2 linked regions of the Oreochromis niloticus genome follow. Each later gene encodes a partner of the first gene's protein in a complex. Links are inferred from orthologs where the notes say so. Each region holds a gene or a part of one and is shown on either strand. Other genes may lie near its edges. The genes, in order: agk and timm10.

Evidence for each region.
Region 2: the proteins of agk (region 1) and timm10 are in contact, whole or in part, in a cryo-EM structure (PDB 7CGP), measured with the Homo sapiens proteins. The link is inferred for Oreochromis niloticus from reciprocal best matches to the Homo sapiens genes AGK and TIMM10. Residues at the interface, in NP_060708.1 of Homo sapiens: Phe49, Gly50, Asn51, Gln52, Leu53, Ile54, Pro55, Pro56, Val60, Ser91, Gly92, Met93, Asp94, Val95; in NP_036588.1 of Homo sapiens: Glu40, Glu42, Leu43, Ser44, Lys45, Gly46, Ser48, Arg53.

Annotation. Positions count from the first base shown.
Region 1 is NC_031972.2:61,904,096-61,908,020, reverse strand, and holds the start of agk (acylglycerol kinase, mitochondrial), read right to left. Parts: upstream 2,620-3,925; 5' UTR 2,459-2,619; coding exon 2,349-2,458; intron 2,266-2,348; coding exon 2,226-2,265; intron 2,145-2,225; coding exon 2,065-2,144; intron 1,976-2,064; coding exon 1,900-1,975; intron 1,799-1,899; coding exon 1,673-1,798; intron 1,553-1,672; coding exon 1,458-1,552; intron 1,303-1,457; coding exon 1,233-1,302; intron 1-1,232. Other genes in the region: nuclear pore complex protein Nup205, read left to right, coding at 3,047-3,074, 3,594-3,736, 3,901-3,925. UniProt on the Homo sapiens protein: Lipid kinase that can phosphorylate both monoacylglycerol and diacylglycerol to form lysophosphatidic acid (LPA) and phosphatidic acid (PA), respectively. Does not phosphorylate sphingosine. Phosphorylates ceramide.
Region 2 is NC_031971.2:36,379,543-36,383,467, forward strand, and holds the start of timm10 (mitochondrial import inner membrane translocase subunit Tim10), read right to left. Parts: upstream 2,304-3,925; 5' UTR 2,142-2,303; coding exon 2,071-2,141; intron 1-2,070. Other genes in the region: uncharacterized protein LOC102082595, read right to left, coding at 3,690-3,925.

The sequences.
Region 1 (3,925 bases):
TTCTCAGTTCATGGGCAGTTATTTTGCGCCTTGGTTTTTCCACACGCTTCTTGCGACCCTGTTGACTATTTTGAATGAAACTCTTGATTGTTCGATGATCACGCTTCAGAAGCTTTGCAATTTAAGACTGCTGCATCCCTCTGCAAGATATCTCACTATTTTTGACTTTTCTGAGCCTGTCAAGTCCTTCGTTTGACCCATTTTGCCAAAGGAAAGGAAGTTGCCTAATAATTATGCACACCTGATATAGGGTGTTGATGTCATTAGACCACACCCCTTCTCATTACAGAGATGCACATCACCTAATATGCTTAATTGGTAGTAGGCTTTTGAGCCTATACAGCTTGGAGTAAGACAACATGCATGAAGAGGATGATGTGGACAAAATACTCATTTGCCTAATAATTCTGCACTCCCTGTAATTGAAAACTGAAATTCAGCGCTTGCTGTCAGATATGTCTTGCTTGTCTTTCAGTTGTGTGTGCTAGGAAACATAAACAGGTGTCACTGAGATGGGAAAGATACTGCAATATGACACTTTTATATCATGGAAAATGTATATTATCGCAGATGATATGATATGGCACAGCCCAAGTGCCAAGGATCCTGAAGCCTCTGGGAAGAACTTTTTTTTTTAATTACTACACACCTTGGACATGAAATAATTTGCATGGAGACCTGAATTTAAATTTGCTTATTTCTTCTGCTGAATTTAAAGTCATCAACATGGCAAAAGAGAATATTAAATATTAAGAAGAAAATTAAAAATAGTAGTTTATGTTTACGTTTAGCCCAACATGTATTCAAAATATGAAAAGAAAGTCAATGAATAAATAAGTTTGGGTGGTACAAAAGGAGAATAAATGAAAATCATCAAAATAAATGAATGTATATATTTTTAAACTGGAAAAATAATGTCACATTGGAAAATTAAAAAAAAAAAAAAATACTCACAAAAACCGATAAAACTCATTTTTTTTCTTGTAATTTTCTTTCATTATAATAAATATTCATATATGTTTTTAAAAATATCTATATTTTTTACCTAATGGCTTTTAAAATAAATATTAAATAACTTTGTAATTTTTAAAATGTGCTTTATGAATCCAGTTTACCGGCTTACTCACTTGTTTTAATATTGGCTGTTAAAAACAGCAAGATTTTTTAAAATAAGTACAGATTTAGTTTGTAACTTTAAGGCTGTGTAGAGCAATATATAAGCAGTTTCTCACTTTGATTTGGAGCACATCCAGCGGTACAGTTTCTCCCTTCAGTATTGACAGTGTTGCTGATGTGATGTCCCTGGAAAATGAATGACATTAAAAACATTCTAGTTAATGGAAGAAATCAGGAATTCTGTACTATATATTTGCTGAGTGACATGATAACAACCCAGTGAAGTTTGTCGTGGGAATATGTAATGATCTTTTTGTGTGTGATGCTGAAACATTACTTACTTGACCTTGTTGTCACTGAGGAGATGAAGACTTGGACTGAGGGAATTATGGGAGCCTAGTGGAATGAATCCAATTGGTGTCTTACTGAAGACGTCCTGTGGTCAGAAAACATCCACCAAAAGAAAGATTTAATTACTTAAAGTATCAGACCGAATACAGTTATTACAGACAGATGATGTCAGATTAACACAGCTACTATATTACATTACACCTACTTGGTCTGGCCTTCTCAGTAAACCTGTGATCACTTCCTGCAACGTGCCATCTCCTCCAGCCACGATCAGCATGTCTGTTTCTTCCATTAACTCGATCAGTTTTTTTGCCTGGCCTTCATAGTCTGTCTGTAGAGGGATATGTAATATCTAGATGTGATGTCATGCTCTGTGACACTCTCAGAGACACTATTACCTGATAAATATCCAATTGAAATAGAAAACATTACCTTGACTACTGTAATCTGCACACCAGCCAGGTGTAAAATAGGAGCAGCATTCTTTTCAAATAGGTTGTTGGCTTTCCTGGAGAAAATTAACACAGGAAGCTGTAAATATTCTGAGAAGAATTAAACAAGACTCTCAGAGAGATGTCTGGAGATTATGCGTCTTACCCGTTGCAAGCTGCAGGGTTCAAAATCACAGTTGCTTTCCTGATTCGCTCCTGTGGTGCTATCTGCTGCTGTCCATATTCCTAACACAAATGATGATGTTAAGGATAACTGTCACAAAGAGGAAACTTGTGTTTTGGGGTAATAATTTTGTGACACCTTACCCTGGCTAGTAGACACGCCTCTCTGCGCAGGACGCTGTCACTGATGAAATATTATACATAACATTTAGGACACGAAAACGGGAATTTGTGCACTCTGTCTCATTCATAGCATGAAATACCCACCAGTGTTTTCCATACAGCCAGTATCCACCGTAGGACAAGACACACACAGCAAATGTGCTTTTCTTCCAATGATTTCGCAAAGTCCGAAACACTTTCACGACTCGAGCCATGACTGTGATTAAACTGTTTTCAAAACCTCAATTTTAGCGCAGTGGTACAGATCATTAAACGTCATAAACGACACATTTTCATCACAGCGGTCACAGACTCACAGATATAAGACTAGCATGGACATTTTGGTGTACCGTCAAAACAGTTGGAAGCAAAACAGGAGCCTCAAACTCATGGTTCCGCTTGTGTTTTGTTTTTTTTCGGAACTATTTCTAGTTGCATATTTTTTTCAAGTATTGCTTTATATAAGTCTCCTAAAAATATTTTATTTTTTAATTATTTTTTTTTAAGTTTACAGATTGTAGATTTAATTAAATGCCTTAAACGCTTTAGCTTACAAGAACTACAATTCCCATAGTTGCTAATGGGGACGGGGCCATCATTCGGAGGACCCCGCCTGAAAAGAGCCCACATAACCATGAAATCTTCTAAGATATTTAATCTACTCAACTAACCAGCGAGGACATTAAATTAGGACTGATAGATTCGTTGTTCACTAAAAGTGACCAAAGCGTTACAGAATTGATTGTTTTAAATTTCACACCGGCACAAACCCAGAAGCTTCTGTCCAACTTAGTGAGCGTATCATGGCGGCGCAGATGGCGGTAAATTCGGGTAAGGGTGTATATTTTATTAAATAATTGGATTTTGTTTAGTTATTGCATCAAATCTCAACCTCTGTTATGCATAGAAGCGCAGATATATGCGCTTCTTGGCCGCAGATTTGTCGATTATGATATGTTTTGACCACATGTTGTTGGGTCTGTCAGGCTAACATAGCTTAGCCTTACCCATAGCAAATAGACGTTAAGTTAGTTGAGGTTAAATAACAAATTAGTTTTACTCATTTACACCGAACTAATTCCCACATTAAACCTGAAATAACAGGGAGGGATGACAAGACTTGTCTGATAGATCAGCCGACCGGCTTGAAATAAAATTGAAACTAACAACTCGGGGGAGGCAAAGAAGTGTCTGTACTATACTTCTGGAATCTTTTATAGTGCTGTGCAAAATGCCGCAGTGGTGTTAACAAGCATGGTTATAACAAATTAACTCGAAATGACTAGAAATTAGTTGTTTGCATACTTGTGTGACGGCCCAAGACATCTGAAAGCTTATTTACAACCTCAGGAGCCAGTCTGTGGGGGCCGCTGAAAGAGCTCTGGGAGACAGTGGACGGAGCTGTGTTAAGGAGACAGCCCGAGAGTGTTCACCTCCTAGACCTACAGCTGAAGAAACACAAACCTCACTTTCTGTCACTTTTTAAGAACCCGGTAAGATGGCATGAATGGGTAATTTAAAACACTGTCATTTCTCACACATGCAGGTCACGGGTGGTTTTTTGTTTTGTTTTTTTTCCCCAATGTGTAGCTTGTAGTTACAGTCTGTCCTCCGAGACTCTGATATTAACAGCGTCTTGTCTTCTCTTCATTTTTAGCCAAAAAGTGCAGAGCAAAGAGAGA
Region 2 (3,925 bases), on another chromosome or scaffold:
CTGAATGAGTCTATCCAAAAGCACTTCATCGAGCCAAACGTCTTTCAATACAACACCATGCTCATCAGAAGAAGCCTTAAGGTCCTTCTGCAGGTCACCATCACCGTTTGCCTTAGGACACACAGGGGTGGTGACCTGATAGGACCTTACTGCTAATTCTGATAAATTACATTTCAGTGGATTATTTCTTTAACCCGACTAAAATTATTGGTTAGGTTCTTCACATCCTGCCCCAGAATTCAAAAAACTGCAACAAGGCTGACGATAAGCCACGAACACCTCTAACTGCCCGAAAGACCCAGTTACTGTCACTGTTGTGGTGAACTACAAGAAACAGTTAAACTGTTAAAAACATTATTTTACACAACATACTTGTAAAAGTATTGCCAGCATTGGGATACCAAAAAAAAAAACCCAAATCTGAAACATTATCAACTTACTGACATGTCAAAATGTTTCCTGTGAAAAGATACTAAACATAACAAACAAACATAACATGCCTCGCCCACCAGAGCCAACTAAACAGAACGGCCCATCTGACAATGTCCAACAACTGTGTGACGCCATCACGTCAAGACAGACCAAAATCTCTGAGGAATGTTTCCACCAATTTTTTTATATCTATGCTAAAGGCAAAAGGGGAATTATCACGTATGAGCAAGCAATAATCAGGTGGCAAGTAAGACATCTTTAATGGCTCTAAGATGTTGCCAGGTATCATATGAATGTTCAGAAAATTTTAACTAGAATTTGATAGAATTATTGCTCACTTCCATCCACAAAATGTAAACAAAAAATAGTATTTGGTTTATGGAGTGATGTCAAAAACTGGGTGCCATCAAATTACTGCAGAAGAAAATCCCAGCAAAATGACAGAGAGCCAAGAGCCAATCAAACCTCAGTCAAAAAAGTAAAGCAAGCGAACTGCTTGTTTGTTGCTCTGTGTTGAACAAACCAATAACTCATAGCTCACGTATATTTATTCATCTTTCTCAAGCCAAACACACTTGGAAAAAAATATACAAAAACTATTTTCTTTGGCAACTGACTGAATCTGACTCGGGCTCGGTGGGCTTTAACTGCAAGACTTTATTAAAAGCACATGAATGTATAATTTGTGCAAGGTCGTTAAAGGATAAATATTAACCAGGCTAGTTTTTTCTTCATTCAGAGACGCAGGTCTGTGCTGTAAAGGTTTCTTCCAAGTATAAAAATACTTGTGATCAAAATCACTTAACTGTTTTTTTGGGGGTATTTTAAAGTGAGGTTTAATTTAATAAAAGCTTAAATTAATTCTTTTGTTTTTTGTCAGGTTTTTTTTGTAAGCCAAAAAGAACATTAAAATCCACACACCTGTCATCAGGTAACACAGCCTATTTGCTTTAACTATATGTGGACGTGATAAAGAGAAACCCTTTGTGAGCGCTGCATTTTAGGTCCACATTTACAACACATGTATTTCATCACTGACCTGTGCACTGGCGCATAGCAAATCATTATCAATGCTTCTCTTGCAAATAGAAAATAACTTGGGCTTTTCAACAAAGACAACAAAGACAATGACCGGGGGGCAGCTATAGGCATATAAATGAATGCACTCTTACTCTTACACCAGTGACGGCATTTAAGTAGATTACTGTGTTATGACACGAGGACACATCTTTATATTATGAGTAACAGCCGTACTGTGCCTATACTGTAATTTGTGCTATGTGAAGAAAATTCAGTGAGTTAAGCACTTAACTCAGGTCTTTAATTTTTAGTCAGTATAGCTCTTTTTAAAATACACTGGATTTAACCCTTGCCACCCTTTAGTAGAAGCCTCCCCTTGCCTTAAACATGCCGGCTGGTGGGCCTTTATAATAATGAGCTTTTTAGCAGGACACTGACTTTATCAGGTGTTGCTCGCATTAACGATGAGCTCTACAGGCTCAGCTTCACTAAACAGTAATTATCTTTGCACATTATTCTGGCACACTGTAAATAAATGTAAGTTTGACACATAAAAGCCGCCACACTTCACAGCAGACTGCTGTGGCTAGCTGAGAGGTTAGCTTGTTTGGGCTTTACCGGTTGTACATGTCAGCCATCATCTCCACCTCCAGCTCCGCCGCCAGCTGCTGCGCCTTCACAGGATCCATGGCTCCGCTTCAGTTCTGCTCACACCGGGTCTCGATCCACAAACACGCCGTCCCGCTGAGCCTCTCCTCCGGACAGCAAGCAAGGAGCACTACCCGCTGCTTCAGTAACCTTCAAACCTGCACGAAAACACGTGTGTACCGTTTCCTCCACATACTTCCGGTGACAATAAAGTTGGATTCAAAAAGCAGAAAGCGGAGAGAGCAGGAAGTGCGCCCTCTACTGGTGTGTGTTTGAATGTGTATTTCTCCAAAGTAAGATAAGAGCCTCACAGGGAGATGAAGGACAAAAAAAAAAACGCTCAAGTTCAAATCAGAATGAGGAAGTTGGTTTGTTCTGTATTTCTGAAACTTCTGTCTCCATTTATTTATTCATGCTATTTGTATTTTATCTATTAGTACATATTAACCAGCATCTGTGTGTGGACAGCAGAGAAAGAATTTCATCGTACAGAGAAATGCTTTTCTTTGTACACATGACAATAAACGTTTTGAATCTTCTGAGATGTTCCAATACAGAGAGAGATCAGAAAAAGATCAAATGTCCAGTGAGCACCAGTTCTCTGGGTAAAAATTAATTGTGGATGGCAGACGACAAAGGAAAATGGGCAGACTGCTGCAAGCTGATGAGAAGGCAACAGTAACTCAAATAACCACCGGATGCTTGGTTTTGGGAGTGGAAAAACTGCTTCCCAATTGTACGTCTCCATTTCTTCTGCAGTATTTGGATGGTTGGTCAAGAAGTTTGTGAAAACATAAAAGCAGAGATTGACCTTGCTTTGTGTGTCATGTCCATCCCTTTATGACCACAGTGTACCCATCTTCTGATGCCTGCTTCCAGCAAGACACTCAAAGGGCCTCCATAGATACCAGAGCTCAATCCAAAGTATTGCATTATAAATGTGTAGCTCATAAATCTGCAGCCGTGACATGCAATGCCGTCATGTCAATATGGACCAAAATGGAAAAGGAATATTTCCAGCACTTTGTTAAATCTATGCCAATTAGAGTTCTAGCAAGATGTAACTAATAATGTGGCCAGTGAGTGTATATTCTGTAGTGCCCTCTTGTGTTCAGCTATGGTGCTTTTTAAAGAAAGCAGGCTGTCACATGAAAACGTTTAATAAACCATAATTATATTATGTACTGATGTACATAAAACACTTTTACAAATATAGACTTAAAACAACAGATCTTTTCCACATTGGAAACATACAGAGGGACATCACTGAAGGCCACTCAAGTGCCTTTTCCTCTATTCATCTGACAATTTCGCTGAAAATGTAAAATGTATAAAATTGACAAAACAAACTTATTGTAAACTTTTTCTTTAGCATATTATTAATGGAAATTAAACATCTTTTTGAACCGCATACACAAGGAACTAAACGAAAACCCAAAGTGGTGCAAACATGAAGTGAAGAATGTAAAAATGAATCTTTATACGCAACTTCATGTGACATGTGAACATAAATACAACCAGAACAGAGACAGCATTAGAGTGAGAGCCGACCACTGGACGGGGTAAAAAATACACACACGTACATGACGTTACTCTGCTTCGTCTCCAGTCACGTCAATCTCATTCACATCATCTTCCTCATCTTCATTCGGAGTCATGTCTATGTTGTTGAGGAACCCCTCACACTCTCTGGTCTGAGGTGCTTTTTCTGGGGAGCAAACCAGGACATCCACCTCTTCTTCCTCCTCCTCTTTTCCCTTTTTGTCTGTACTGGTTATCTTCACGGTCAAGGGGTGCAACAAGTCCAAAGCTGTGTTTTCTTCAG